Lepisosteus oculatus: one gene and its partners. The protein of the gene in region 1 binds, or shares a complex with, the protein of each later gene. Links are inferred from orthologs where the notes say so. Each region holds a gene or a part of one and is shown on either strand. Other genes may lie near its edges. The genes, in order: ints11, brat1 and wdr73.

Region 1 (11,235 bases):
TCCATAAGAAATCAGTGATGGGTAGCAGGACCAGTTCTATTTTCTATTCCTTTACCTGCGAAACCAGCAGATCGCGGGCACTTGTAAATGAAAAGGAAGTATCCCACACAGAAATAGAAGATCTCTTTTTAAAACAATATGGAATTAGCAAAATCTTTTTTTATCCAAACAATTTGGAATCACAAATGTCACAGACAAAGGTCTGCGACTCACCTTTTACAGCTATGGGCTCTGTACAGGACACAAAGACCAGAGGAACACACTCCTCTTACTTGCCCACCTGTCAGAATCCTGCACGATTACACCTGCTGCCAGCACAGTGCCTCTGTAGACAGTAGCCGGCACTGGCTGGAAGAGGAGTGTTCCCTATGAGGAAGTGTGTTTAAAGCCAAGAACAGGAGCCACTCTTTACCCAAAGGCTGGGGGGGGTATGGAACACGCTACCCAGCCATGTGGCTGAAGCCGATACCCTGGCATCTCTCAAGAAGCGTCTGGATGAGATCCTTGGATACTACCAAACTAGAAGGGCCCGACAGGATCCGATTACGACTTGGAGAAACTCACAGACACGGCCCCTGGTTTAACCCAACCATGTCTGCATCACGGGACTCTGGTTGCTGGTTTACTGGTTAAAAACAGATTTACCATTTTAAATCTAGCTTCGAAATTAAGAACTTAAATAGCCAAGAAAACAACGTGACACCTACCCCAAATGTCTGTCTGGTGTCATATTATAATCCCCCTAGACAAAAAAAAAAGTTTAGGTTTGACTCAGAATGTACAGGTTATTCACATATCTTTTTTATTTGAACTGTTTTACATAAAGAGTAAAATTAAATACTGTATTTGTCAAGTAAATCTTGAATATCTTCTCAAGACCAGTCTCATGGGTAACATCAAATAACTCTACTTAAAGGCAGATAGGAAATTATTTTGGTGTGTAAACAGCATCACAGTCTTACCTACTTAATTAGACATACAATGTGTGCTCCAACAACATCATGTTACAACTGTGTGTATCCCTACAGTTTATTACGCTGAAGACAAGTTAATCAAAGACACAGAAAATCAATTAGCATCCTAACTTGCAATAGATGATCATACACTTTTAGATGCAGGGTTCAATTATGTTGAGAGAAAAAAGTGTACACGCACTATGCAAGTTATTCCCTTAAGTAACACATAGGCCACAGGAAGACTTGTGCTCTTTACTTACAGTGTAGACCACAGACTCTGACCCAACTTTAATCTGTACCATGGCAGCTCCCAATACGTGGCCTGCATAGTAGGCTTTAATCTCCAACTCGTCATCCACCTACAGACAAAAACCCTTATATAGCACCGTTCCCTTCACATGAACATGCTCCATTCTTAAGACAACAAACACCAAAATGTAATACATGCTTCTTTGCATTACTATAAGTATCAGAAAAAATCTCAAGGTATTCAAGTGTTTAAAAACTGTGCACACAAAATCTGTGGATAAGCATGTTCATGCGGTCTATGTGGGTCCTAATGCCCCAGTATAGTGATGGGGACACTATATTGTAAACAGGCACCGTCCTTAAGGATGAGATGTAAAACTGAGGTCCTGACTCTCTGTGGTCATTAAAACTCCCAGGGTGTTTCTCAAAAAGAGTAGGGGTGTAACCCCAGCGTCACGGCCACATTTCCCATTGGCCCTTACCAATTGTGGCCTCCTTATAATCCCCATTTATGAATTGGCTTCATTACTCTGCTCTCCTCCCCACTGAGAGCTGGTGTGTGGTGAGCATTCTGGCGCACTATGGCTGCCGTCGCATCATCCAGGTGGGGCTGCACACTGGTGGTGGTGGAGGGGATCCCCATTACGTGTAACTGGCTTTGAGTGGAGTGTCCAGAAAAGCGCTATATAAGTGTAAGCAATTATTAATTATTAATTATTAATTATTATTATTATTATTATTATTATTATTATTAGGAATCCCTTTCGTAGATTAAAGCGTTAAAATTTGCTGCCTTTGGTTTACAAAGACTTAGATTTCTTTTAGAGGTACCCAAGATGAACCACTTTGCTTGCAATGAAGGTTGGCAAAAATACTCCCAATGAACTGAAACAGTTGTTTTTTGGTGGGCAGCAAATGAAACCGCTCAAGTGAAAATACAACTTCCCAAGTCGGATTTCTGCAAAGTGAAAATCGGCAGTGAAAAGGTCACCTGGACTGTCTGATGGAGATTTATGGCCACCACTTTCTTCATGCAGTCTTTGATCATCTGCGAGGTGAAGAAGTTGGTCTCTCCCTTCTTGTCCACGGTGATCTTCCGGAAGTCCTCCAGCAGGATTGGGCAGATGGCCTTGGTGGGGTGGGTCATGTATATAGGCCCATCGTAGCCCACCATCTCACTCATGTAGGGGAGGGCGCCACAGTGATCCAGGTGGAAATGGCTGAGAGACAAAGAGCGGAATATCATGTCTCATCTTTATCAAAACATAAAGCACTTCCTGGGCAATAACAGAAATGAGCTTCCTCGTTTATCTCTTTAGTATCAATTTGGTATACTTCACAAACGTTTGTGGACGTTTAGTACTTTCGAGCTTTCAAAACCACCGGGTGTTTATCAGTTCTGGTTCTGCACAACTCAAGGAACATGCCAAGCCAAAGGACTTTAAATCAACAATCTCGGTGGCATCCGGTAAATGGGAATAACTGTGCAACCTGTAAAGCCTCAGCTATGTTCCAAACACTGGTCTCATCTATGCCACTCTGCCAACTCCCAGGCATGCTCAGTTCCCACCTCAAACCACACTGGCGCGTTCATGCAATATTAAAAATGAGACAATAAGTTCCTAATAGACACTATAAGGGCAGGGATAATTCACACTCAGACAGCTTCCCCATGAAACAGTTCACATATCGCCATTCAAAACCTCACTATAATCACACACCACCCACAAAACATTAAATAGATTTTGTGTCTTTGAAGTACATTCTTTGGGAGCTTAAACAATGAAGCGAACCAGCAAAACACTCCATTTTTAACAGCTATGCACAATTTCACACTGTTACGTTTGTCCTTAATATGGCTGTCTTTAGGATTGTTTAGATTTTTTATTTGCTTCGTCAATACTGGCTGTAAACATAAAGGCACCAATAAAATAAATGCACCGATATACTCATCAAGTGAAAAGGTTACATGGAGATCCTTAGGAAGGCATAGATCTTGGTCCTCAAGTGCTGGATTCCAGCAGGTTTCAAAGTGATCTTTGAATCAACATTGGACTTGAAAATTTCCAGACTTTGGATGGGGTTAAATGTCTAGAAAATTATAAAGGTCAAACCTTATGATGACACAATCCAGAAACTCTGTTAGCCGTCCGTTCTGTGTAATGTAGGAGAAATCTGGGAAACGCCTCTGATAAAACAAACAAAAGATACAATAGTTTGCGATATTGTAATATTCATCCATCCACCCTTGTTCTAAGCCACTTCATCCCCTACGGGGTCACAGGGGAGTCAGAAGGTATCCCAGCAAGCAACGAACACAAGGCAGGATACAGCCTGGACGGGACACCAGTCCGTCACCGGGCACACACAGACACAAATATGCACACGCTGACACCCAGGGCCAATTTTCCCAGACCCCAGTATGTCTTTACACTGCGGGATGAAACCAGGGCACCGGGAAGACAGCCACACAAACCAGTGGAGAACATACAGACTCCACACAGACAGAACCCTAAGAATTGAACCCGGGGTCTCAGCGTCGCAAGGCAACCACTTCACCAATATGTCTCCCCAAAACATTTTAAAACTACAATAAATAGAAATAGCTATTAAAGGGCCCTAACTGAAACAGAAAACAGGACATTAAACACTAAGGCAAACATGAAACAGAACTACATAATTGGGTGATAAAAAGAAGTGTATGCAGTCAAAACGTCAACAAAAAGAACAATTTCCTACAGTGACACAATTTCACAGGGAATGTTATGTTAAGACAAGGTGATCCACAGTTCAAAACTGCTCACGTCATCATTGTATCCCATGTGCATCCCACAATCCAGCATGACATTCTTGCCACCAATGGAAACCAAGATACAGCTTCGCCCCACATCCTGGCCAGCACCTGCAAGACAGGAAAGACGTTACTTCGGGCAACAATCCATACGCACTACTAGGCCACACAAAACTTGCAGAGGGAATAAGGGCAATGCCGATCGCATAAATGTTTTATTTCAATGGTAGTAAACTGCATGTTAGATATGCAATCTACATTAGCACAAGACACGTCTGCACCCACCACAGCATTTCCAAAGGCAATACACTATATTGGTCTCTGTGGGGCTCATACTGTAGGTGTACTACATTCTGAGTCTGACAACACATCAATGAAGTAGAACTTAGGTTGACCCAATGGTTTCAAAGTGTTATAGTTATTCGAAATTGCTTCTGCTGAGATTCTGTCATTTCTTCTCATTCTAACTCCGCTGAAGTATGAGCCAGAGTACTGTAAAGCACTGTTGTACTTATCTACAAACTCACAGGACCGTTTCAAATGCAGGACAAACACGGATATTACTCAGTGAAGAACTATATCACTTACACCGTTTGCTACTGACATCTTACCTAAAGGAGTTACTTTTATCTCGGGCATCCTGTAGAAACGCTCGCTTTCTTTCTACCGGCGTGATCACGGTCAGTTGTTGCAAAAGATTGTACCCATCTGCATGAAGGGGAAACCACAAGTGTTTATTTTCAACTTAATGACGGATAACCATCATTCATTGGAAATCTAAAAACCACCTCAATGCTTCACGCAGCATATGCAATTAGATTCAATCAGGCATCAAGTCCTTTCACCTCGGGGACCTAGCAAAGGCTTAGTTGGAATATGTAAAACAACAATTGAGAACGAAAACAAGAGAGAGAACCACAAATTAATACATTCAAGTAAAAGGATTTAAAGCGTTTAACTTCAGAATCAAACATGATTCTAAAACGTTTTCCAGTTTAAAATGCTATAAATTCCATCAGAGATCTTCAATGCATAAGTAAATCACTTACTTCGACGTAAAATGACGGGTATGAAAATGTTATCACCTTAACAATGTTCAAGTCTGGTTTTCTACTAGTGGGGTAATCTTTTAAAAAAATCAACTTCATCTGCTGTACGCTGCCATCTTGTATGCAATGACACCCACCACGCGATTTCTCTTTGATTGACAACAGCACAGCCCAATCAGCGTCAAATACTAGAGCAGTTGACAAACGATGCACAAAATGTAACCAATAGAAACAAGCGGAAGGTGGGGTAAAGAGATTTACTGTTCGGTTGAGAAAGCAAAAGATAACACTCCGGTTACCGTATAAACCAGTGAAGAAGCGAAGGCTGTGTGTGGAGATGTGAGATCAGCTGACCGTTTGCATGAAAGTAAAAAAAAAATCTGCCTTTTTTTTGTAAAAAAAAAAAGAAAACATCACAAAGTTACTTCACGTCTTCATTTATGTTCACATAGATTTACGTCAGCTGATTTTTCTTGTCAAGCTTGGTGTGCTTTCCTGCTTCCGGGTAAACATGGCTGATGTGGTGGAGGACCAGAAATTTAGTTTGAAAGAGGTGCTGGACACTTTCCAGTCCTGTCTCACAGACAACAAGGAGATTTTAATCGATCAGTACGTGGCGGGGTGGCGAGGACTTGTAAGGTGAGTCTTCCATGGTGATTTCAGGTTTAACTAGTGTTTGATGTTACTGTGTTAAACGGCCAGAATAAATTCGGGTGAACTCTGAAAAATAATTGTGAAAACGTTTCTATTTCAAACATCGGATTAACTTTAGTTAATTTCTTCGTAGCAGTTGTCAAAACTATTTTTTTCTAAAAATAGGACTCTAAACGGCTGGGCGTGAACATTAAAACATTTAGTACTTAAACGGTTTTAATTTTTAATTGTCAACGTATTCTAACTAATTGAGCGCAGGCAGGCAGCCAGTCAGTGATGTGAATATTGCAAACGGAAACGATCTGTTGAACGTTGAACACAGTAATCAATGGATAAGTCTACATTTTGACACTTGATTAATGATTAAACTGTGTTTTAATTACCCCGACAATTAAACTAGAACATCTGTAAATATTATTTTATATCCAGATGATAGTCTATATTTATGTCATTATATTTATATAATGACAGTTTAGTAGTGGAGAGACCAGCAGCAGAGATAAATGGATGATTTTTGGATGAACACTCATCCTCTCAAGCATGCATTGATGAGCCTAATGAAGCAGCTGTTTTTTTTTAAAATAAAATTTAGGTCGAGATGAAGTCAGACCTGTGTCCCATCTATCCAATTCAGATTCTGAAACCTGCATCCCTTCATCCATTTTCTAACTGCTTTATTCAGTTCAGGTTTGCAGGGGACCCAGAGCCTATCCCAGCAAGCAACGGGGACAAGGCAGAAGCTCCTGGAAACCAAACACAGACAAACACACATTCACACCAGGGCCAATTTTCCCAGAAGCCAATTCACCAACCAGTATAATTTTGGACTGTAGGAATAAACTGGAACACCCGGAGGAAACCCACCTGTACACAGGGAGAACATACAAACAGCACCCAAGGGCCCAGCCCTGCAAGGCAGCAGTGTTAACCCCTGCATCACCACGCTGCCCTACTTTACACCCACTTAATCGAATTTCCTTTTTAGTTAATGTACTGTATAACCCTACAGTATATAAATGTATACATGACAGGTAAACACTACGTGACAATGTGTTGTAAAGGGTGCTGTACAGAAAGGGGAGTTCATTTTGCAGTTGAGGTAACAGGCTGAAGCCTGCTGCTGTCATCAGGGTCTCGCCAGCTGGAGATCCTGATCCTGTCTGCAGCGGGGAAATACAGAAGAGGATGCCATCCAAGTTCTTTCATGCCTGCGAGACCAACGGTCGACAGCATCATTAGCCAACAGTATCGGAAATAGAAATTGCTACTGTATAAAGAAGCAAGAATCCTCTCTTTAGCAAGACAAGCCAGTTGAAACGATCACTGGTGAATGCCTCTTGGCAGGGTCATCATTGTTACACAGAGAGCACAGCAGGGAGAGAGAAAAGCATCATTGTTGAAGTGCAAAACAAAACGTGACAGTGCTAACCAATGCACCAGGCACACCAGGCAGCAAAGATTTAATCATATCATTGAGAAACGCCCTTAGCCTCACAGGTTGAGGGTTTCAGCTAACACTGCAGGTTAGTCTCCTCAGGGGCTGCTCTGGGAAAGTTAGGTTTGGTGAAAATACTGCAATACTAATACCGATTGTAAATGGAGTATTTCCAGGGAGCGAGTTTGAATATTTACCTCTTTTTTTTTTGGCAACAGTTATTCATAAACGTCCCTCTCCTCCTGGCTGTAAATGGCTCCGACTTAAATAAAAGCATTTTCTAAATGCATAGTTATTTAAATAAGTAGTTCAGGTGGGTAGCTGCGTCAGCATGCGTAGGCTGCAAATGGGACAAGTAATAGGTTTATTCCATGCTGAAAAAAAGAAGAAAGAAAACGCAACGTTTTGGCCGTGGAGCCTTCTTCAGGTGTGAGGGTTGAAGAACCCTGAAGAAGGCTCCACGGCCGAAACGTTGCGTTTTCTTTCTTCTTTTTTTCCCCCAGCATGGAATAAACCTATTACTTATTTAAATAAGACCATCAATAGATCAAACTAGTGGCAACGAAACCTCAGTAGCTTTGTCTCAACCTTCTGCACGTGGTCTCTTCAAGGTTCATGAACAGCCTCGGCACCATCTTCTCCTTCATCTCCAAAGATGCCGTCGGCAAGATCCAGATCATGGCCAACCATCGCAAGGGCGAGCACGGAGAGCAGTACGAGACCGTCCAGTCCATGGTGAAGTACGAGCTGGCCCACGGGCTGGTGGACCTCACCAAGAGGGCGGACCACCCCGAGTCGGGCTGCCGGACCACCCTGAGGCTGCACCGCGCCCTGCGCTGGCTGGAGCTCTTCCTGGAGAGACTGCGGACCAGCGGCGAGGACGGGAAGACGTCTGCCATGTGCGCGGAGGCCTACAACGAGTCCCTGGCTCACCACCACCCCTGGATCATCCGCAAGGCTTCGCTCATGGCCTTCTGTGCTCTCCCCGGGCGGGCCACCTTCTTCGAGGTCATGAACGTGGGCACACCTGACCAGGTGGTGACGATGCTGGGGGAGGCCCTGCCCCTCATCGCCGAGGTCTACCAGATCACAGAGGAGCTGTATGCCAAGAACAACCTGCTGGACTTGCCTTAGCGCAGGTGCAGCTGAAGATGAACCTGGAGATGGGACCACCGCTCTCTTTCTTGCAGACCACTGTTTTCAAGCACATTCTGGACAGTGCGCCTGTTTTGTTTTTTTAATCACACTCAAATACTACTTCGTTTTTTGGGGAATTGTTAATTTTTCCACTGCGCTAGAATTGTGAGGGTTCAAGTCGGATGAATATGGCTCTTAAGTAACAAAGAAGTGGTTTTTCCAGATCTTTGTTTTGCAGGGGAAGAACTGATATTTGGTGAATGGGTGTCGCCGCTGGTACCTCACTCTTGATGATGGAGGTCATCCAGAGGTGTTGGGAGTCTGGATAGTGATGTTTCTGTACTATATATATGCGGTGTTAGACAGCTAGCTTCCTTAATGAGCTTCTCAAGCACACAAATGCACCTCCCCTTTTATTCAACATCTTGAAAGGCGGTGTCAAAAGTTCATACTTCTTGTTAAGTTTGGGAGGATGAGCAAAAGAAAGTAAAATTTACAGGAATGTCACTCAACGAGAGTTATACAAATGTGTAACATTTTTTGAAACCACACTACATGATTTTATAACCAGTTATTCTATAACACTGATCAAAGATCAGAACGTACTCTACTTCTGGGCTATAAGCGTGCACCTTCTGTAGAGTCTGTACAGTAAAAAAAAAGATCCCATCATGATTAAAGGCCACTAAGAATTCTTTATAATTCTTTAAGAATTCTTGCACTGACAGCCTTCAATAAGTAGTCTTCCACCACGTTTTTAATAATTGTGGAGGTCTGCTTCTGTGGAATCCTTCCATAAATCCACTAGATGCATAAACCATCTACTGGATATATGGATGGGTGGGTACCTCAAAAGCAAAATGGAGACCTAAATCCTAAATCCCACCCTGGGGCATTGGTGCTATTGTACGTTAAGGCAATCTGGTTTGAGAATTTGAATTTGACGGATGGGTCACAGCTTTGATTTCATCTGGACCTGAATCTTCTTTTTAAAAGAGCTACTTCATGAGACTCAACCAGGAAGGACCAATTTTTTTTTTTTACTTAAATGGAATGAGGGGATTTGACCTTTCAGCTGAAAACAGTTAAAAAGACCCCATCATCCTGATAAATCGGAAAGTTAAACAACTAAACTGTCCCTTCTAGTCCTTTCTAGCGCAGGCGCGTGGGACAGCCACTTCTAAACCCGGATCCTGAATGTTCCCTAATCCTCCCCCCCCCCAGTGAGGTTGGCTGGAAGCTGAAATGAACAAATCAACAGTTGCTTTTGCCAGTGGTCACAAGCAGTAACATCTGCCCCTATCCCCTTTGAGTAGAATTAGATACAGCCGACTCTTGATCAACGATACATCACTGACGTTTCTAAAAAGTAAGTGCTGCTTTAAAAACAAAAGGCTAATTGAATGGGACAGAAAAGAGTAATGTATTTTAAACTTGGCAGTGATCCTCGCTCCTGGGCCAGGAGAACCAATAGGATGTTTTTGTTTCAATCTACCAAGGCTTTTAGTGAGTAATTGAATTATCAGCTGTTCCAAGTCTTTAGTCATTGAGGGGTTTAGGTTCCCTGATGCAGGGGAGTAAATCTAGAGGCACTGGGCTGAATATTTTGTGATCTCTAGAACTGCAACCTTTTAAGAAGTCAGCACTTTAAAAAGCCATATAGGACTAATGAACAAAGCCTCTTAAAGAATTGCACTTATTACGTGTTACAAGTTAAGAGGGAGTCGGCTTGCTTCACAGACTTGTCGTTTTCTGGTGTGAGCATATGAATGCGTTTGAAAAAACGCTGAAAAGTTGAGTCATCTTTTATCACTTCTGAGTGTGACGTTCTGAAGGAAAATGTTGTTGTTTACATGGCCAACAAAAACAAAAAAGGCCTGGGATTTTTTTTACATAGCTGGAATAAGCTGATTCCATATGGAAATGTCTTTGTCAAGAAAAGGGAATTTGCACTAACAATTTTAAATGTTTGCATCCGTCTCTGCATTGTATGGTGTCTTTGGTACTGCAACAATATGGGAAGAGTATTATGGACATACTAGTAAATATAAGATCAGTTACATTTGATTGTGGGTTCAAACCTTAAAAAGTTGTCTTTTTCCCCCATCTTATGTCTTTTGCAAAATTTAAAATGCCACCCCGTGTAAAGGGAACCAAGAGCACTGGTCAGTCACTCGAACTTCCCTCCCGTCTTCGTCTCCCACTTGAATTTAAAGTGAGGCACATCCTTTGCTCTGTAAAAATCTATGCGTCAAAATGCTAAGCATGATTTCCTCATCGCGCGTTATGCATTATTGACCTTATGCCAGAAATCCCAACAAAAATAATAGGCTACTATTTCATTTAAAGAAATCTAGTGTAATGTACATAGTTTAAGAGAGATTTTTAAAATTGGGATCTTTTGCCTCCCCTGCTTTTTTTACGGCAATATTTTAGATTTTTTTTGTGAAAGTCTCAATTTTAAAAGTCCTTTTTGTGGATTTTGGTTAAGAGATTTGTCATGTTGCATGAAAGGCCAGAGCCTTTTTAAACAAAGGACGTTTCCTTTATGTGGGGTCTGTTCAATCGACTGTTTGCACTTGCTACCAATTTGAATTGTATTACAGCAAAAGCAACCTATGGGTGTACTAATTTGTACTATAGCGCATTTCACCAGAGCCCTCAGCAAATTATCTTGCTCAAGGATACAACAGCAGTGTTGCAATTGTAACAAGTGTGATTTGAATATGCAAGTCTAGAGCCCCACCCACTGTTGTAACTTTAGTTATTTTCCTAATCTTTTTCTGTTATATTTGCACTTTTCTCTTGACATTCTATGCCCTATGGTGGGGACTTAAAGCAGAGGTTTAGGATTAGATACATGTAGGACTGAATTTGTAGCCCTTAGGTCTGTTCTAAAATGTTTGTACTATAAACGGGCAACTATTTTACAGGTTGAAAACAAAGTGGGCTGTTGAACATCAA
Region 2 (10,492 bases), on another chromosome or scaffold:
ATGTCTTGCATTAGGAATTATCTTTTCGAATACCCCAGCTTGCTCTCCATGAGACACACAGACAGGGAGAGAAGCTTGAGGTCAGAGCGCAGGGTCTGCCATTGTTCGGCACCCCTGGAGCAGTTGAGGTTAAGGGCCTTGCTCAGGGGCCCAACGGAGTAGGATTCTTCTGCCGGCTGTGGGATTTGAACTGGCAACCTTCTAGCCACAGGCGCAGATCCTTAGCCACAGAGCCACTGCACTGCCCCAAAAAGTGAACCAAATGAAGGCTCACATTTAATTAAACACACAATCCTAGATATTGTTAGTGACCAGAGTTCAGGGGAGATCTACAGTCTACACTTAGAGAGGATTAGAAAAGGATCTCAGAGAGTAACTGTGTCTGTTGTAAGTTTGGACAGAGGATAGAGAAGTGGTTCTAAGTCTAAGTCTTTCTTGTGAGGGATCCACCTTCTGGCTTTCGTTCCAGCAAGCTCTTAATCAGTGGCTAAATTAATTTTCAACTTTGAAAGGATTAAGGTCTCCATTTTTTAGAAATTCTTCAAGATTGGTGGTGGTGGAGGGGAGTCCCCATTACCTGTAAAGCGCTTTGAGTGGAGTGTCCAGAAAAGCGCTATATAAGTAAAAGCAATTATTATTATTATTATTATTATTATTAGATCTCTGACTGAACTAACAGACCTTTTTTAGGTCTGCATTTTTGTCTATGTAAAAATGCTGAAATACATCACAATTTTAGAATAAAACACACACCCTCCCTACAAATTTAAATTAGCAGAAAATTCTCAATTCTGCATTTTATCACCTTAAAAATCTGCATGTATGAATTAAAATTATTTTTAAAAAGGTGTCTTATGATTAAATTAAAAAGACACTGCTATGCAATCCTATTTAATTATGTCATTTCATAGCTTTCCCAATATTTAGTTTGGAGACAAATGGTCATTGGATGGCAGACTTGATCATTTGGACAGAGTACAATGTCTTCATTATTCGGATGTTTCAAGTTCATAGGAAAGGAGCTGTAAAATGACATATTGGGGAAAGAGTAAAATGGTTACATTTAAAGTTAAATTAATTTTATGTGCATTACTATGTGCAATTCCCACCGTTCATTATGATGAAATGCATAACCCTCCAGTGCTGGAGCATGCTCCATAATCCATTGATCCACCCACTGCGCACTATTGCCTCATCCCACAGCTCTGTGTGGGTCAGGCCTGGGTTTCCAAAGAGACTGTGCAAAATGTCCTGTTCCTGAAGATGACAAAAGTTTTCACAATTCAGGCTATTCAATTTCTACATTTCAAGCATCCTAATTATGATATCTCCAATGAAGACTGCCAACACTAACCCCTGAGCACTGAGATTCAGCCTACTTATTTCAGGCATTGTTTCTTTTTCATGTGGCAATCAAGCAACAAGAGAAACAGGAGAGATTGAAAAGCCAGTATCTGAAAAGTTTATAATTTAAAAGTTATATCATATTCTGTTTAAATATTCCTGCTAGAGCTGCTCCAATCTGAAAAAACACAGCTGTATGTAAAGTTAGCAGAACACAGTCAGTTCCTCTTCCAAAATGATGATTATGTCTTACATTTTATCTACAATACTTTGTAAGAGCTATATTGCCAGCAAAAAGGTTTTTTATAGGCTAAACTTTTAGAACACAAAGTTAAAAGCTACCAAATGAAATATATTAGGTATGAAATAATTTTCCTGTAGCACACTTCCAGGAATTGTATGTAAAGAAAACTTCAAGAGTGGCTTTGATCAATTTACCTCTAAAAAGCAAAATCCCTCTTCAGTAGCAGCTAAGATCCCAACCAGTCTCAGTACAAAGGAGAGAACAGTGGGTTCATTTGTCTTCAATTTACACACACTGGATATCAATTCAGTTAAACATGGATTGTGCTGCAGCAAAGATGCCCCAGATACTAAAAAAGAAGAAATAAAGCATAATATTATATATTCAACTTTTAAAAATGAAGTATAACTGAAGATGAATTCACTACCTATGCTTAAAATAATACCTCCATCTTAGTGTGTTTAAAACTAGACTTACTAGTGTTACTGAATAGCCAATACCAGCAGCTTCAAAGCCAGTAAGTGCACCGTACCTAACTTGGCAAATTAAGTAGCCATCAATATTCCCTTTTCATGCCAGCTGTACTTTGCAAACGTGACCAATATGTCACAATCTAGTTTAGTATTAGGCTGACTAAACCTAATTAACACATTAAAGTGTTCAACACCTGAATTGTTCCACTGAGGATTGTCTGAGAATCTTCTCTAGTGGTGCACATTTATTGATCTCTCAGTTTCCTTTAAAAAAACCCTTAACTGTATAATTGAGTGTGAATATTATAGTCCCTTTGAAAATTACAGCTTTCAGTCTGTTTCAATAGCTCACCCTTTTTTGTTAGGTCTTTAAACCAGTCCAGCAGCTTCTCAAAGCAGGTATCATCAGGGAGTGACTGCTTTGGATTAACAAGAACTGTACAGACAAGAGGTAGCAGCTCTGCACATTCACTATCCATTGTTTTGGTTATCTGGAATCCGAAAACAAGTTTTAATATTCTCATTAACAACATACAAGTTAATTAGTAAGTTTTCAATTAAATAATGTGCACTTCCCCCAAAATAACAGATATAAATCATCTCTACTTCTATTACAAACTCATACAGCTACCTTCTGTACAGCTCATTTCAGCCCACACATACTAAAAATTCTGTCCCCTTTTCACAGCTTCTCAGGTTCTGACAACTTTGCAGTGACACTGACTTCCAAAACCAAGCCCTTAAAATGCACAATTTTTTCATTAACAGAGGATACTCCACCCATATTATTGACAGGGCCCTTCCCAGAGCCAAAAATAGCCCTCAGACCATCAACTCAATTAGGAGTTCCCGGCTTCACAACCACATTCCCGTGGTGCTTCCCAACCACCTTAACACCCTTTCTATCCCCAGGACCATTAATGACAACTTCCACATCTTAAAGGATGATCCCTCCACTGGCACTCATTTTTTCGTAAAACGCCCCGCCATCTCATATTGCCAACTACCTAATCTAACCTTATAGTATACTGCTCTCTTGACCGCAGTCAGCAATCATCCACACCAAGAACCTTCCCCTGCAACAGAACTCGCTGCATCACCTGAAAATATATATCCAATACCATGCACATTCAAGGCCCATCTGGACAATTCTGGATCACTCAGATGACATCTTGTATCTCCAACAAATTTATTTACTGCATCTCTTAAAGAAAATGCCCAGCTATTTACACTGGTGAAACAGGAAGGAGACTGAGAGACCATTTCAGGGAACATGTCAGGGCTGTGAGGATCAAAGATCTCTCCAAGCCCACAGTTTCCCATTTCATCGCTAACAGCCATGATCATACTGATCTTTCCATCTTTGTTCTCAAAGAGGGGGTTCGGATCTCCTATTGCATCCAAAACCAAAATTATTCTGAAACTAGGATCACACCTTCCCCCTTTTCTCATTGACAGACTTGTTTCCTTCTAATCCTCTGTATTCATCTGCAGGTTTTGACTTCACACCTCTGTTCACCTCTCTTAATTTCAAACCACCTGAGTGTCCACTCTGCTTCTCTCCTGCTCCCACCTCCTCTGCAGCTTTTGTTCTCCTGTGCTTTATCAACTGCCGATTTTCCTCTCTCACACCTGAAAAAGGAGCTACAGCCGAAACGTTGTTTCTTTTCTTCTCTTTTCAGCATTGAACAAACCTTTACGTGTTCCTATAAATCATCTAAATTCAGAACACATAATCTTAATTGAGTCTTATAAGAATTTAAGCACCTTCAGGTTTTGAATTGAGGGATCTAAATGACAATTTGCTATAATATTAATTTTAACCTAATTTCTTGAATTATTAGTAATCACAATTTTTCATTAAGTAAATAGTAGTAATTAGTAAGATGATGCCTGTGCCATAAGAATTATTTTCCCATTTAGAGTTAGAAGTAAACGCATCGAAAACTAATACAAATTCTAAACATAACAGGGACCTAATAAAATGTCATTTGCTATTTTCCTCTGTACAGTAACATGCGATTATTTGGGTCAGTAAAGTAATTATGCGCATTAAAACACAACGGGTTTAACAATACCGGAGTTTGCAGCTTCCTTATCTTATTGTGGCAAACACAAAGATGAACGCCGAGGCGTAGATATACGTTCAACGAAAAATTGTCGTTAACGTCTGAAAAGTGAAGGGTGGGATCCCAATCTAGTGTTTAAGTCACGTGTAGCTACAACTTTACTTTGGTTAAGAATAAGAATTCACAAAAATTAAAGAGAAAATTAAAGTACACAACACACATTCATTTTACCACGTGCTCTTCTGTCCTTACTAATCATAAACAATCAAAGATAGTTACAGACTTCTACAATAAAACAAATATAGAGATTCTACATTTAAACGTTTCTCAGTTTAACATAATTTACGATGACTAACACATCACAATCAATAAAATCTCCGAATTTGGGATTTGTGAAAAGCCCAACCCTTCTTACATTTCTCAAGCACTTCCTCCTGTAACAGGAAATAATCTGGAGGCATCCATTTTTAGAACGAACCAAATTGTGTGAGGGGAAATATTTAATAGAGTATTCAATTTTTTCACCTTCAGTATATGCTAGAAATATTATAATAAAATTGTCATTTCTATTATATTATAAGATCGAGGTTTTGATAGGTGTTTTCGTTTTACGTGTTTAGAAAACACTACCTGTTAATCCTTACCCCCATCCCTCCGAAAAGGTTGAGTCCCTTTTCACTGGAAGTTGGCTCGCGCCGGTTGTCGTGCACATGGCCTGCTGAGCAAATATCTAGATTATTTGATAGAAAAGCTGGTCATATTAATTTTCCATAAATCTATTGAAAGGGTAAAGCTTTAAATGCGGGATACGGAGAACATGGCGGCCGAAGCCGAGTTTGAAGAGGGTGAAGAGCTATCCTTCAGTGACCCAGAGGATTTTGTGGATGACATCAGTGAACAGGGTAATCGAGCGGAGGAAAGCACCCGGCTTTGCGGCCTGGTTGGAATAACTCAAATAAAAATAAGCGCTATTTAATAAGCTTTCTTACTGTTAAATGTAACGATGGTACAACTCGCGGCCTAAAAATAAAGGCACTAAATCGTGCATTTCCGTTCAAGGCACTCAATTTTTAACAGTTTCTGCCCGGTTGTGGAGTCATTGACGAAGCGAGCATGTCGCAGCTGGATGTATAAGTTAAAAATGATAAGAAAGCAACCAGTTTAAGGACACGAGTAACACATTCTTAAGTAACACTAACGTTATAGATTGAATGTTCGGTCGTATAGTAACAAAGACCTCAGTAATTCAGTGTTGAGTATGCAGCAAGGTGTATATATAGAGTAAATTAGAGTTACTACGGTTTTTTTAATTTTCAAATTAAATGTATTATTCTTATATTTAAAAGGTGTAGAAATGTCTTTTCAGGTGGCTGTCTATTGTACATTTATATTTCGTTGCAAGTTTCTGTAACGGTATTCCAATATGTTCGTTATAGGCAAATGAGTCGCTTTTCGACCTGTAGTTGATCTTTACCGGACAGATAATGTACAGGTTTATTTAACGCAATCCTGACTATTTTATAATGTTCTGAAGTGTTACCAATATTTTGGAGTTTTTTACTCCAACATGTTATTAAGGAACTTTTTAAACTGAAATGTATAATTAAAATTAAATTGAGTAAAATGACGAAATTACACCAATCTGGTGTAAAAGTGGATGTTAGTTACATATTTATAATGAAAGATAAGCAGCGCTCATCTATCGTTACTGAAATTGCATTGGTAAAAGCACTGTATGCTCATTGAACTGTGAACGGAAGTAATGTCACTGTGTTTTTATAAACCGCCGAACTATATTACGTTTATAGTTCAACTTAATTACTGAAATAAAAAATATTAAGCCTGCTGCTGTGTTAAAGTACAGATGATGCTGTCTACAATAAAACATGGATCTCGCATTTTGTGGGTGTGTACTCAAAAATAACTAACTGTAGTTGGGCTTTACTGATAACTGATGTACTGCTCTTGGAACTGTATTTCTGCCTGTTTTTCAGAACTGTTGGCTGATATTCTGAGGGAGAGGCCCCAAGAGGCGGACGGTATTGACTCGGTTATTGTGGTTGACAACGTTCCTCAAGTTGGACCAGAGCGCTTAGAGAAATTGAAAAATGTCATACATAAAATTTTCTCAAGATTTGGCAAGATTACAAATGAGTTTTATCCAGAAGCTGAAGGAAAGACAAAAGGGTTTGTATTGCATATTTATCATTTTGCTCTTTAAAAAATTGCATTCAACATTTACTACATGAATATGTATGTACACTCATTGATTTATTCTCATTAATGCATTTATAACTTTATTTTCATTGTATTTAGTCTGGTTCTACTGAATGTGTGTACTACTGCTGTGCAATTATTTATGTATGCAAAATAAGTTATTTTAATATAATGGTATAGTTATTAATTATATATAGATTAATTATTCTACGTATAGATTGTTTTTTGTTATTCATGCTATTAAAAGTTATTTGGACTTGAAGTTAAACTCAGGTATGTTCTAGATTTATATCCAGGTTATTAGCTATTAAGAACTTGCTTTGAGGAATAATACAGCTCTTACAAATTATTTTGAAGGCAAACATCTATTATTGATTTGTTGTTGTGTAAGACTATATTAAAAGTAAATCATGTCTTCTGGGGAAGTTTGTAGGTAGTTGTGCTTCATTGTATTTCTCTTGTGTAACACTTGTGTTTAGGTACATTTTTCTGGAGTATGCATCGCCAGCTCATGCTCTGGAAGCAGTGAAAAATGCAGATGGCTACAAGCTGGACAAACAGCACACCTTCCGAGTCAATATCTTTACAGACTTCGACAAGTGAGCAATTTATTTTCATTTATACACTGTGTACTGTATGTCTCCGCTTTTTTCTTTGCCTCTAAGTGATACATCCAAGGGAGTTTGTTCAGATGGGTACCTGCTGGAGATGGGATTGAAAAACACTAAGGGTATTATGGATTGGATAGAATTACTGAACAGTCATCTCCCCATTTCTGTAAATGCTCTTTTGAGATTTATTTATAGGAAACCTGATTAGAGGTAGTATGTGAACTTGCAAACTCTTGTTGATATTAGGTTTATTCCATGCTGAAAAAAAGAAGAAAGAGAACACAACGTTTCGAAACGTTGTGTTCTCTTTCTTCTCTTTCTTCTTTTTTTCAGCATGGAATAAACCTATTACTTGTTCCTTTGCAGCCTACGCATGCAGACGCAGCTACCCACCTGAACTACTCTTGTTGATATTGTTAGTGTTGCTATTTTTTAATTAGCATTATTTTTGTATAGGTACATGAATATCAGTGATGAATGGGAAACCCCTGAAAAACAGCCATTCAAAGACTTTGTAAGTATCATTACTAATTTGTGTATATCATTCAGGATTGCCTATACAGTTATCACTGCAAATGTTATATCTGTAAGTGATGCTGCACTTTTGAGACTACCATCCTCTTTAACACATTTTAACACATTAAGGCCAGCAAATTATTGTACAAACATTAAAATTATACTGAAAAGTATTTTATTTTAATTTCTCTTTTAGCATTTAAGTATTTTGTTACATTTGGTGGCTGGCCTTATGACCTCAAAGTAAAAAAAGTTATAAAAGCAGTGAAGTTTGTTGCAAACTCTGTTTGCTTATTTAATGTTCAGTTTAAAGATCATAAATTTAACATCTTCAAACACTTGGGAAAACATAAAGTCAGTCAAATCTCATCTTTTAAATCTATTTAAAAAGATTTGATGATTTAAGTATCAGTTCTGATGACTAATAACAATTTTGTGATCGTCCAATTTGGATTATTCTAATTTAAGGGGAATCTACGGTACTGGCTTGAAGATTCTGACTGCCGTGATCAGTATAGTGTGATTTTTGAAGCTGGTGAAAGGACAGGCATTTTCTCCAATGATGTCAAGGAACCAATTACGATCGAGGAGAGAGCTGTAAGTAGTTTACAAAGGCAAGACTACTCTCTGTATTTTGCCCATGTGACCATCATAAAGTAAGAGTCACATAAAAGGAGACCTTCCAAGACATGTCCACTTGAACTGAACTTTTAATGTGTATGTACTTATGTTCTTAACATGGCCATTTTAATTAATATAATGCTCACATTGACACCTTTTTTGGAGGCAATATAGTTTGGAGTATTGAATGTGATAAGTAAAATAGTCTACCCACAGAGGCAGTCTTGGTTTGTTTTGTGCCAAGATGGAATTTTTAAATAAAATACTCTGAGAAGTAGTGGAGAAGGATAAGAATTCCATATGCAAAAATAGGTCAATTCGGATGCATTTTAATGTAGATAGCATTTGCACTAATGTGGTGCACAGCATTAATGAACATGTAAAAAAAACGTCTACAATCTTCTAATATTGTACTTTCACATCCCTAACAGAAATGTATGTTCATCGGTTTCATTTTACTGTAATAAAATGTCTTTAATTCATCTAATTGAATATAATTCTTCGTTGTTGTTGTCTACAGCGCTGGACAGAGACCTATGTTCGTTGGTCTCCAAAAGGCACTTATCTGGCTACATTCCATCAGAGGGGTATTGCTTTATGGGGAGGAGAGAAGTTCAAGCAGATTCAGAGGTTTAGCCATCAGGGTGTTCAACTCATTGACTTCTCACCATGTGAAAGGTGAAAGAATTGCCATTATCATTATCACAGTGATCAAGATTTTTTCTTAAAGTAATTTTTTTATTTCTGGATTTTTAAAATGTTTATCCAACAGGTAACAGCTGGACATAAGGCATTTTTAAATCCCAAATATGTCAATTTAATGCTATGCTTTAGGATCACAAAGAAGATTACAGCCAAAAAGAGGCTGTTCTACACATCTGGGTGGACCGTAAAAATAAAAATGTTTTTATTGTGAGCTTTGGAAAGAATCTTGGTGGTGCATGTTTGCTGTGTAAGGAAACTACAGTTTTAAGCCTTCTCTGCAAGGATCGTATAAAAACTTGTTCAGCCTGCACATATCTTTTGGATAAAGGAGTAGAAAGAAAACTGTATACGTGGAAGTAAAGATTTTCATTTGTGTAGAGTAATATATCAGAGTTGAATCAAAACGAACTTTGGAGACTAACCACAACATGCCAAAAAAGTAACATCTTGTTTCCTGCTTCACCTTCTTTAAAAACAATAATAATAATTGCTTACACTTATAAAGCGCTTTTCTGGACACTCCACTCGAAGCGCTTTACAGGTAATCGGGACTCCCCTCCACCACCACCAATGTGCAGCATCCACCTCAGGTGAAAACATTAGGTGAAACTGCATTAAATTGAAATGTGTGTTGTTTGGTTATTACATGATTGTTTTCACGTTTTTGGTTCTATGATCTTAAAATGTTTTTGTATGTGAATTTATGTAACTGTTCTGCACATATGCATAAAAGATTTTAATTGTGTTTTCAATTACAGGTACATGGTTACATTCAGTCCTCTAATGGACACAAAAGATGACCCCCAAGCTATTATCATCTGGGATATTCTGACTGGGCAGAAGAAGAGGGGTTTCCATTGTGAGAGCTCAGCCCACTGGCCAATTTTCAAGTGAGTTGTGTTTGTTTGTGCTGCAGTGCATTATAGTTTTTTGCCCTCTTTATTTATCTTCCCTTATTTTCCCCTAGTAATGGAATTTGAGCATTCATTTTAAAGATGACAAATAAATAAGTTAACATTTGTACCTACTTTTAGTGACAGTGTAACTGATAGAGCCTTCATACTTGTTTTTTAAATTAAGGCCTTTATATATAAGAATAAATATATTTCACTGCTGTTAGTCAACAGGATTGTAGTCTTTGCATTCAGAGAGTAGTGTTATAATCTACATGTCTTAGATTTATCAGTACTACTAGGGGGCTTATGCAAATTAAGACTATGCCTAATATTCCGTTTGGCATTTGACCTAAAGTATTTTGGTAGTTTTCAATCAATATTTTTTTAATCTTTATTTTTTGTATGAAATTATTTTCAGGTGGAGCCATGATGGAAAGTTCTTTGCCAGAATGACACAAGACACACTCAGTATCTATGAAACACCTGTAAGTCCCTTTTTTTAGATTTAATCATTGAATGAACAAAACGACCTTCAGTACCTTTTGAACTAAGATAATCAAAGATCAAATATTACTATATAATTCATTTTTGTAGTTTTGACTTCACTTTGCCTAATGCTAGATTGTTCCACTTTAAGCTTAACAGTAATAACCATTTGAATCATGTAATTTTTTTCCTCCTCTTTAGTCCATGGGGTTGTTGGACAAGAAGAGCTTGAAAATTGGTGGGATAAAGTAAGTGCAAGAAAAAATTGAAGCCTTTTAATAAAAATACTACAAGTAGTGTGTAAAAATGG
Region 3 (10,417 bases), on another chromosome or scaffold:
ATGACTGGAAAACTTAAAACAACACATGAGAAACTGGCAAAGACATTCAAGTAAGGTGTTGCATTACTCTTGTATACAGCATGAGTCTATGGTTTAAATTTCACTGCCATCATAAAAATGCTTTACTACTGCAAATATGAAATATGAGCTGTGCTGAATCAACAACTAGATTTCTTTTATGCAAGGTCTTGGGCATCAGATGCCTTCCAAACATTAAGTAATTCTTTGAGATTTCTATTGATTGTAAAGTTCAGTCCTTTCAGTAGATGTTCCATAAGAAACCATTCACTGAAAAAGGCTTTTAATAAAAATGTGCAAAATACAATGTGTTAATGTTTTTGTCTTTATACATAAAAAAGTATATTCAACTGGAGTCCTGATTACTTGGTCATTAAAGATCTCAACAGTTGGTCACAAGAGTAAGATCAATAGTCATTTTGCCTTTACAAAGTAAAGAGTCCATTACAGAAAATAGATACAAAATAGTGTATTTTGTACTTCTACTGATTTAAAGATGTTCTAGCAAAGGGTATTTAAGCAATTGCAAATTTGATTTTCTTTTAAAAATCTAATCATCACCTTCTTTCTTTGCAAGCAGACTAAGAAGTATAAATAACATCAATATTATGATACAAACCAGTAGTGAAGGCTTTGAATGAATTGTTGCATATAAAAGCCAATGATTCTCTTATGATCTTTCCATTAAAGGGATATATAAATTACACTTAACTTGGGAATAAGATATCTTGCTGATGAAAGACAGTATTGACAGTTTAAAGTATGAAACTTAATATTCTAACACAAAAAGCTGTGTACAAATTAAGTTTACTTCACTGCAGTAAAAGTTGTGAAAGATACTGAAACAATCCTAAGGACAAGCCATCCTTGTTTGAAGCTGTTGAAAGATGCTTTGTTAAATTACATAAAGAAAATTAAAACTGCAAGTCAGTATCCTGAAACAGAATTAGCCCAATTACCTGTAAAGCAGCCAGGTTAGGCATTACGTTAAAGGAACTAATAAGGTGTTGTGCATTACTATGTGTTAGGCTGCAGAAGGTTTTCTCATTAGAATTTTGATTAATCTCACAAGGAAAAAAATATGCTACTCCTTTCAGCAGCAGCAGAATTGAGGTTTATATATACAAAAAAAAATAGCTGTGAAAATCAAGTATACAGTAAATGATTCATTTGACTTTTTCCTGCAGTACCCAAAAAGAGCACAGGCTACAGTCATGCTGATAGCAGTCTTTGAGTGTACAGTTTTTTCCACAACCTTTAGAAACCTCATTGGACAAGATGCCCAGTTTCTTCACATTGGGGCAGGGGAAGTGTTCCACCGCCCCCCAATCCAAAGGCAGGTTCCTGTGAAATGCTCCGTTGCCTTTACCGGCCCCTGGCCTGGTTGTCGACCCAGTCCCAGACATGCAGAGACCCATTGGTGGCTGCAGACAGCACTGTCCTGGGTTTCCAGGGGTGCCAGACGTGTGTGGTGACCACAGCCGCGCCCCGGCCGCTCTCGGGCCCGTGCGACAGGCTGTGGCCCTTGTGAACAAACAGAGGCTCTGCTTCCGCGGCGTTCGGGCTCCAGGCCTTTGTTTCGTACACGCGCACAGCTCCGTCGAAACCTGACGGCCAGAGGGAGAAAAAAGCTCATTCTCTCGTTTCGAGCCATTCACACGGCTGTGGTGAAGCAAAAGATGGAGTGCGCAGAGAGAATGTCTTCCACTTCAGTGTTGTGAAAGCAGTAGATTGCAACCGCCTGAACTGCCACAAACCCACGTTTTTAAATGTATCTACAGTACCTTACTTGTCATAATGCACATATATTCACTTATCCCCCTACAGTACTGAAAAATCATGGACAAAGTGCGTCCACTATATTTTTGTAAGCAAACACTGCTGTGCATTGACTTGGCAGGCCCCCTCTTTCGACCTATAATCTTCCCAAGTCAAAGCAAGTGACTCTCTCCTGATTCTCACCTCTGAACATCAGTACAAGCACCTCTCCTTCGTGTACCAGCAGAAGGCCTCCTTCATGGCCGGATATTGGGATGATATTTTGAAGCCTCTGATTGTTTATCAGTAAAGTAACATTCTGAACAGCAGCCTGGTAGAGTTCACACTGGATGTCTGAATTTTGCACCAGGTTTCCAACCATTGCACCAAGTGGAACAGACTTCGAGGTCCTGCAGGCAGTAGGTGCTCTAGACCAGGAGACGTATAATGTTGCTTACCTGACACAGCCAGACAGTCGTCTAAAGCCGGAGCCCAGGTCACAGCCATAAAGTCAGCACTGGGGCTGTCGTGGTGAATATTCAGCCTGGCTTGGCACATGGGGCTTCTCGGACTCCGCAGATCTGTGACGAGGACCTGGCAGGAGGAGGACAGCCGCGCCACAGTGCCGGAGGCAGCCTCCACGTGGGAATGCCCCTTCTTTACCCCCATGCGCCAGCGCGGGCCCTGCCCCTCGGGGGTGGCTGTGGGCCGCAGACCGGCGGGGTCCCTCACGTCGCACAGCCACAGGCCCCCGCTGTCTGCGCAGACCAGGAACACGTCGGCGGCCAGGAACTCCAGGCCGCTCACCCTGTCCGCGCAGTCTGCAGCTGGGGAAATAAAAGCTTCCGTCACGAACTGACTCTGAAGCGATTTCACATGGAGGTGCATCGCTTACACAGCTCTGGCCACCCACCCACACCCACAAGTCCAATGCACAAGCTCTCAGTTACCCACTGAGTAGAGCACCCGTCGCGATTCCAGCTCGGTGATCTGCAGGTCTTTGATCCGAGAGGCATGAAGGACACAAGGCGTCCTGGAAACCCCGGAGGCAACCCTGCTCCCTGCCTTCACCCGGACCTCCGGTTCGATCACTCCGGCTCTTCTGATGACATCTACCACCCAGCAAGAGGTAAAACATAAGCAGAGCTGTGGATACTGGAGGTGCAGCACGCAGTGTCAAAAAAAGATCTACATGACATCTGAAATGTAAGCAATGCTTTGATATGAGTATTTCAAAGCTGATCCTTCCTACGTTCTTATGAAAGAAATACATGAAACATCCAATCAGGCCCCAAGAAGCAATGATTAATTTGTATAATAAATAAGTTATTCTCCTTTGTTTAGAAAAGATAGAAGACAATCTAGTACAGTAAAATAAAGAGATTAAACAGACTGTTAGTCATTCCAAGCACTTGGAATGAACAAGATCCTCACCGCTGTCTTCGTCTCCTATCTGCCAGATGTGCAGAGTGTTGTCTGAGGGACCACTGGACACCAGCGTCCTTAACACAGGAAAAGGAAAACAGGGAAGCTGTTCATGTAGAGGAAAGGTACATAGTTGTCTTGGTATCTGATCCTTTTAGTCCCATTAATGTAATCTGCATAGATTGTATTTCCTTTCATTTGACGCCACCCCCGTTTTAACTTGTATGGCTGAAAAAAAAGTGTTTTTTCTGTTTTTCCGTGCAAGAAGGTTTCGGTGCTCAGGCTGCTGCAGGTATGTTTTACAAACCTACCTTGTTCCAGAGACATGCTTCAGGCAATCGATGGGCGTGTCTGAGAAGCCACCGTGCTCCACCTTGAAGTCTCGTTCAGGGCACAGGCCCTGAGGAGAAACGGGACGAAGTGCTGTATTTTCCACAAAGTCGGACACCAGTGTTATTCACGTCCCTGATGAACTGCATCTAAAGGGTGGTCTGTTTCTAAACATCCGCTCTCTGCAGCTCATTCCACGAGTCTTCTACCAGACACAGTGACATTCACTCCTGCTCCTGGAGCCACACACTTCATGGGTACCTTATAATCCTTATTGGGTAGAGACCTGGAGGCACTGGTAATAGAGACCAATTAAGTGAACAACTTAAGTGTCCCAGAAGGACTGAAATCTAGAAGCCCTTCAGAGTGATCCGGGCGAGTGTGATGAACAAGCACGAACACAGACATGCTATCTTGACCTTCTGACCTTTCTGAAGCAGACTTTGCATTGTTAACCTGCTGTAAAGTCCACGTGTGACCAAGCTGGAAGGTCATGCTATAGGGCACACATTTTTGTGACAAAAATATTGTAGTAAACATAAGGTAGCATTACCACCTTGTCTGATCCTGTCACATCCCAGAAGTTCAGCAAGGCCTGGTCTGTCCCCAGAGGGATCTTTCGACAGAACTCAATCATTCTAACATGCTTTAAAAATCTGTTTCCTACCTCATGGATAAGCTGTGATTCAATATCTCTACGATAACAGGATCTTTAGTTATAAGACGCTCCATAAACTGTTACAGAACGTCACTATTGTATTTGCAAGGTGCCAACCGCCAGTCTTGTTTCTAACCGTAATCAGGGTATATTCATGGTGTTCTTTCCTAGCTCCAAATTACACTGGTGAAAACACTTCTGCCAGGCCGTAAGAGCACCATTACCGAGACAGTCTTTACCTGGTTTTCTTTCACGAAGAGTTTCTGAGGCAGTGCCAGCTGCAGGATTTCATTCCTTGTGCTACTAGCTCCATAGCCAGCTACACAGATACCTGCGGAGGACACAAATACACACACAGTAGCATCTCAGCAAACAGCATAATACTTGTCAAACCAGTGAAACTACAACCACTTCTAAAGAAATTTAAATGTTTCAGTCCATTTTACTTTTTCCTCCAGTCCATTCGATGACTCGTGTCGGATCTTGAAGTTCAAACAAATGGAGATCCCCATACCTGCGCAGAAGATTACAATGTCACTACGACGGTACTGCATTGCTCTAAAGGGGCTCTATTCTGTGTTGCAGCTGGACTGCACGATAGCATCATAGCCATACTGTAAACATTACACACTAATTTGCAATCGTAAGTGCATTGCTTTCCTGGTTTGTAAATCGGACGTCTCAATTCAGCTCGCATTTCATACAATACCTAATATAATTTGCACTATATGTCGCGTGGTGCTCTTTTCTTGGTTTGGTTATTAATAATGAAAAAAGAGAAAGTCACTGCAAGGAATACGTGCACACTAGAGGTTACAGCATGGCCATAACACTACATCAAGTACTGAGGCAACACGTTTCCTCGTTCGCTGTTTAATAATATGGTTTTCTCACAGATGTAAGGATTCGATAAACCAGTCATCAACCTCATCTTCATACACGGATGGCTCCATGGTGGCGAAGTAGGAAGTGCAAGCCTATGTTTCCACAACTGCTTCCGGGTCACGGAGAATCACGTGCTGCGAGACCTGCAAACTGTGAGATAGCTGAGGTATTGTGAGTCGTGTATTTAAAGCACACAGCTCACACACAATAGCACTCGTTTACAATTAATATGCAATCAACGGTCAGGTTTTAGTGAATTTCTTAAGGGGTCTATTTTTTCCCTATATGGACAGTATTCCCGTGTTTAATTGACATTTTTCCAAACTCAGATGTGCAGCCACTATCCAATGTCCATATTTTTTTAAGATGCACAAGTATAATAGTAGCTGCTTACAATACAGTTTATACTTCCAGTATGTGAAAAACTAAAATTCTTTGCATAAGTCAGTCTCTGCATAATTCGAAGTTTTAGTGATTTTAGCGATTTCATTCATGTGGTTTCTCATACGCGTTATTCTAAATCAAAGCTCATATTTAAAGATACAAATTAATTGCAATGTAAATATTTCCGAAACGCGCAGCACAGAATACAAATTATATTTGGATAAACAAACAGACCCCCCTTACACAGAATTACTAATGCAGTTCTTAGTTCAAACATTTTATTTGTATTTAAAGTAGGTTTCTGTTGTCACTGTGGGTTTTGAGTCTTTAGGTGTGAATGTAGTCGTGAGCACTGGGCATTGGGATTAACGATTAAATGTAGGACACATAGTTCCTTTTCTCAACAGCAAATAAAGAGTAGTGTCACCATAATTAAACCCCACCAGTCCATTGTGGTGTTCAGATCAATTGAGTGTCACCAGACCTATTTTAAATGTAAAAGCTAGGGGGGTTTAAACAGATTTAAAAATAAATCAGTTACCTAAGAATCCTTTGGAGATCAAAAGTTCATTCTTTTTTCCCTCCAAAATCCAACACTGGTTTGGACCAGATGGGGCTGTCTGTGGTCTGTGTTGATATTATTGTGTACAGAGAAAGCCTCATGTAAACAGATTTGCAGGGGGTTTGCGCTATTGTGGCTGTGTCACACTGTGCTGACTGAGTTACACAAGCACAAAGATTGAGTGATTACCCAGACGACAATGAGGTTGCACTGTGTAGCACATGTTTACAGATGCCAATCGGGAACTTTAACTACTACTGAGCCAGAGCTGTCCAATGCACACTATGTTGTCCCAGCTAGCTTGATTTCCTCTCGTATGAAAAATATCTCCCTATGCTTGTAAAATCATGGTCTTTTAAGATGTCAGTGAAATTGTGCAGTGGTTGATTTAATTTAATATTAATTGTGTGTGATTAATGTTACTTTTTCATGCTGTACAAATGCATCTTGTCATTTTTGAAGGTAAGGGCTTCAACGAAAAAATATTTAGTGTGAGAACATCTCAGAATTGCAAAGGCCATTGACGTTCAGTGCCATGATGAGAGAAATTTAAAAAATGTTGTTTCTTATGATAGTCAGCGAGTTGACTGCATTGTCTCATTAAAATCACCATTTCAAACATTTTCAAATACCAAATATCTTTACCAAAGATCTTTAAATATAAAAAGAGAATGGAGTATAAAAGCACTTATGTACTATTTTGTTTACCATATGAATTACATATTCTTTTGTTTTCTTTTAAGTTTTAAGTTGATTGTGGATTTCAATACTTTATACCTTAATAGGAGATTTATATACAGTACATTAGGTTTTATTCTTTAGAATTCTTCCAAAGTGTAGGATAAAAGACATTTAAATATCATCATTTACCATGATCTTCAAAAAATAGATGTGAAAGTCGTTCTAATTTACAACTCTCATTAAATCATTAAGATTTTCTCTGAATGGCATGATACTGTGTGAGCTGTCCATGCTGTTGGCCTCACGTAATTTAACCTTATAAAGAAGGCCTTCACCATGATTTTCTTTGTGTGTATATATATATATCCATCACTGGATACCCCAGGCAGCCTGACTTGATTTTAAAAGACTTTCGAAAGTCATTTAAGAAAAGTTTATGCAAAAAAGGCAGGCTGGGCTGTACAGCGTAGTAACAGAAAAACACCACCAGAGGCCGCCAAATATGGCTAGCTCTTGTAAACAAATTCACTGGGTGTTTATTAGCCACTGCTGGGATTAGTGATTGAATGGTTGAGTGAACATTCCCACATGTTGGCAATTCGTGGTGTTTGTGGATAATAAAGTGTTTTCATGGTGATAGGGTGGTTGTGCATGCATGAGTGTGTCCTAAACTCTTGAAATAAGGCCTCCTGCAACAAGAAGGCACTGTCAGCATGGGTTTTTACAGTATGTACACTACAATACATGGTCTCCAGTAGTCTGCTGTGTCTACTGCGTTCAGTTTTGATTCAAGTGGGGTCTTGGGAAAAATGTTACAGGCATCTGTTTTCATCAACACAAACTGTGTGTAAGTGAAAAAGGCGAACCCCTCAGGAAAATGTGCAGTGCGGGTGTGAAACATCTTGTTTATTTTAAGGCCTTCTCAGAGCATAAGACAGCCATTTCTTGGCGGAGACATGAATTTAACTAAGGAGTTTGAAATCCTCACATCAACTGTTTTGGACAAGGGATGAAATATAAATAGGATAACTACACCCATCAGGAGTGGCATCAGTAATGCATATTCAAGCAGCAGACAGGGGGATAAAAACTACTGTGTTTACAGGAAAAATCCTGACCTGCCAGCTGGCTCTGATATCGCTTCCTCTGTCCCCTGCCAGACTCTGTTCTTTACTCTGTGCCTCCCTACTGGTTCTGTCTCCTTTGTCTAGAAGAGTGTGGAATTCATTTATTGCTCAGATTGTAATTTTAGACATAAACATTATTTGCAATGCTCAAAAGAAATGTTATGTCCCATGAGAAATGCCATGGAATATCTATGAGCTTATGCAGTACGATTATGACTTGAACATTACTGTGTTGAGTGGAATTTATTTTAAGATAATGCTGAGAAAGTAGAAAACACACTTGTTTACACTTGGAAGGTTTTTATTTTAAAAACAAGCCAAACTACATCAGAACAATAATCTGTGACAATATGGCAGAGACTGGATGGCAACAAACAAGCAGAAATAAGTATAGAAACATAAAGAAGATATTTTAGCAACAAAAACAGCTAATGATGGTCTGCCTGCCAACACTACCTGGGATGCCAAAGTCGTTTGTTTTGGTAGCTGTGGCAGAAACCCAGGCAGTAAAAAAAATATATTTTGAGATTGTGTTCTAGAATTATTTATTTTCAATTATTGAAACCATAATCAAGGAACTAGAACGTCTGTCTGTGTAAACGTGTGTGAAAAACAGACATCTGTTGGTCTGGTCCTTTCACACTAAGGTGTCACCAAGCTGGACTGTTGCACCGCACTTCAGCTCATTGCGGATTCCTTCAAGAAATGGCTGGTTGGGATCTGCGGTTCAGTGAGTAACTAACTACCAAACAGGCTAGACGGCCCAAACACTCTTCACTCATCTGTGACCTCCTATGAGCCAACGTAATGTAGCATCTTTAGCTCTATCTGTCATGGCACCCAATAATAATATTGTTCAAGAAAGAGAACGTAGCTATTTCGCAAATACTGCATTCTGTGCACGCAGGACCTTTGAGATCACAGTCCTTTCAAAAAAAACCACAGCAGTGCGTCACGCTAAACTCGCAGCTCAGTGACAAAAAGATTCAGCAGCTCTGCTTCTGCTCCATATTTCTCTACCCACTCTCCCCAGCAGGCTTATTCAAAACTGTGAAAGTACATTAGCAAAATTGTTTTTGCTAATGTGGTCATCTGGGGTCGAGAGCGATTTTCCACGTCATTTAATGTTTTAGTGATTAGGCTTGGCTGCTATTTGTAGTTCAACTTTGCCACATGAGCAGATATTTGTTTTTCTTGAGCGTGATCTAAACTTTACCGGAGTTCATTTGTTTTAAATCAAAGCTAACGTACCTTATACAAGTCCATGGCACAGCACCTGATGTGGGGTGACCCACTGCCACAGGAAAGACCGTTTTTTATTATTTTTCTGAATTAAATTAAAAATATAAAATAAATATTACTGAATTTAAAATGACAAAATTGCATTTAAATGGGCAATTATTGTGTTTTAATTGTGTCTTAATAGTGCAATCTATTTTTATCGTGGAGCTGTTTTGGAAGCTTCACATACAGTAATTGGTACGGGTATTTTTCCAGATACAGTTTGCAAAATGAAATCATATCACATGTGGACTCTGCCTGGAGGCAGGATTGGCCCTCTTGCACCTTGATCTGTTTACAGCGGAGATCCTGTAGGAATGGTCAGTCTGATCACACGAGATATCCTGTGGGTTACGCTGATCTGAACAGCATTTCCTAATATCGCAAAGCACAGCATCTGGAAAAGATAAAAAAACATCACGATCAGCACTGCATTGCTGCATTTTAACATGCTTTTCACAAATTCTCAAAGATCAGTAGTAAACATTGTATAATACTGGGCATGGAGGCCAGTATGCTACAAAGCTAAAAATAATCCTGATTAAAGCATTTTTGTATTTATTTTTTGTGAGTGCATATGTAATAAATACAAACTTTAAGCAGTTCTCCTCTTGCTCTTGCTCATGTTGTCTCTTGGTCGTGTTTGAAACACACGAGAGGCATCGAACATGTACTAATTTATCTGACAAGAGAATGTTACATCACGGCAAGCACATTGCCTATCAGACTGTGTCGTCACTATGGCAACGGGTGAAAACATAAATGCCTGTAATACAGCAGATGCCGAAAATCCAGAACACCAAGAACATAGCAGCATGATTCCAGTACCTGTATCTGCGAGGACACCCATGGTGACCCACTGTGTATTCCTGGGCATAGCAGAACCGACGGCAGTACCTTCTGTAGCCACAGGACCAGAAATTCACCTCCACATCTTCATCTTTGCAAAGATAACGCAGGACAAACGATCACAAGAGAGGAGCACAGAATTAAATCACAGGGTAAGAATGGTGATTTCTCCCTCAGAATCAAACAGCTTCCTTGCCGAATTTCACCTTAGTCCTCCTCTGCAGAATTCGGCAGAAACAACCAGGTTACACTTTACTCCCAGAAACAGACACCCGAGGAAACACAGTCTCCAGAGCCCAGATGCTCACACCTCAGTAAAGGCTGGGTGAAGAAAGACAGGTCCTGAACACTCTTACCATGAATTAATCTTAACCATTAACAGATACAGCAGGTGTAGCATAGAAATCGTACATTTCTGGGTCTGAACATTCTTTGAATCTAAAAGAAAAGGACCTCGAG

The links.
Region 2: the proteins of ints11 (region 1) and brat1 are in contact, whole or in part, in a cryo-EM structure (PDB 8UIB), measured with the Homo sapiens proteins. The link is inferred for Lepisosteus oculatus from reciprocal best matches to the Homo sapiens genes INTS11 and BRAT1. Residues at the interface, in NP_060341.2 of Homo sapiens: Leu9, Val15, Gly16, Lys27, Met35, His36, Met37, Gly38, Phe39, Arg43, Asp47, Tyr50, Thr58, Asp59, Asp62, His70, Leu71, Asp72, His73, Asp87, Gly88, Gln97, Pro101, Ile102, Glu105, Arg108, Lys109, Val112, Asp113, Lys114; in NP_689956.2 of Homo sapiens: Asp25, Thr27, Cys28, Glu30, Lys31, Asp34, Pro117, Ser156, Ser157, Leu158, Phe159, Ser162, Lys358, Ser359, Cys366, Arg367, Arg424, Arg427, Thr465, Lys468, Lys469, Trp514, Glu515, Asp518, Ser519, Glu522, Tyr560, Ser564, Ser604, Glu605.
Region 3: the proteins of ints11 (region 1) and wdr73 are in contact, whole or in part, in a cryo-EM structure (PDB 8R22), measured with the Homo sapiens proteins. The link is inferred for Lepisosteus oculatus from reciprocal best matches to the Homo sapiens genes INTS11 and WDR73. Residues at the interface, in NP_060341.2 of Homo sapiens: Tyr206, Thr208, Thr209, Ile210, Arg211, Asp212, Ser213, Arg215, Cys216, Arg217, Glu218, Arg219, Asp220, Leu222, Lys223, Lys224, His226, Phe255, Arg258, Met259, Leu364, Val384, Glu385, Tyr386, Ser388, Lys418, Lys419, Glu421, Phe422, Gln425; in NP_116245.2 of Homo sapiens: Asp5, Asp6, Leu8, Val9, Ser11, Leu12, Tyr15, Gln16, Phe18, Tyr19, Ala20, Phe21, Asp22, Leu23, Glu50, Leu52, Arg59, Leu68, Phe69, Pro70, Glu71, Arg72, Asp73, Phe74, Lys75, Val76, Gly79, Phe81, Asp116, Ser117.

What each region holds. Positions count from the first base shown.
Region 1 is NC_090720.1:10,495,922-10,507,156, forward strand, and holds the start of ints11 (integrator complex subunit 11), read right to left. Parts: upstream 5,396-11,235; 5' UTR 5,345-5,395; intron 5,200-5,344; exon of another isoform or gene 5,046-5,199; intron 4,705-5,045; 5' UTR 4,636-4,704; coding exon 4,608-4,635; intron 4,108-4,607; coding exon 4,010-4,107; intron 3,394-4,009; coding exon 3,320-3,393; intron 2,426-3,319; coding exon 2,197-2,425; intron 1,316-2,196; coding exon 1,217-1,315; intron 743-1,216; coding exon 708-742; intron 1-707. Other genes in the region: cptp (ceramide-1-phosphate transfer protein), read left to right, coding at 5,557-5,684, 7,746-8,268.
Region 2 is NC_090714.1:9,157,273-9,167,764, reverse strand, and holds the start of brat1 (BRCA1-associated ATM activator 1), read right to left. Parts: upstream 4,540-10,492; 5' UTR 4,390-4,539; coding exon 4,351-4,389; exon of another isoform or gene 4,140-4,350; intron 2,553-4,139; coding exon 2,414-2,552; intron 1,938-2,413; coding exon 1,783-1,937; intron 1,258-1,782; coding exon 1,110-1,257; intron 1-1,109. Other genes in the region: eif3ba (eukaryotic translation initiation factor 3, subunit Ba), read left to right, coding at 4,930-5,032, 6,125-6,317, 6,827-6,946, 7,415-7,472, 7,943-8,071, 8,616-8,773, 9,559-9,690, 10,115-10,181 and 1 more. UniProt on the Homo sapiens protein: Component of a multiprotein complex required for the assembly of the RNA endonuclease module of the integrator complex.
Region 3 is NC_090700.1:1,908,789-1,919,205, reverse strand, and holds wdr73 (WD repeat-containing protein 73), read right to left. Parts: upstream 5,190-10,417; 5' UTR 5,143-5,189; coding exon 5,084-5,142; intron 4,704-5,083; coding exon 4,636-4,703; intron 4,521-4,635; coding exon 4,429-4,520; intron 3,602-4,428; coding exon 3,513-3,601; intron 3,279-3,512; coding exon 3,211-3,278; intron 2,889-3,210; coding exon 2,727-2,888; intron 2,604-2,726; coding exon 2,235-2,603; intron 1,626-2,234; coding exon 1,384-1,625; 3' UTR 285-1,383; downstream 1-284. Other genes in the region: defbl3 (beta-defensin-like 3), read right to left, coding at 9,485-9,506, 9,938-10,049. UniProt on the Homo sapiens protein: Component of a multiprotein complex required for the assembly of the RNA endonuclease module of the integrator complex. Associates with INTS9 and INTS11 in the cytoplasm, stabilizing the INTS9-INTS11 heterodimer and blocking the active site of INTS11.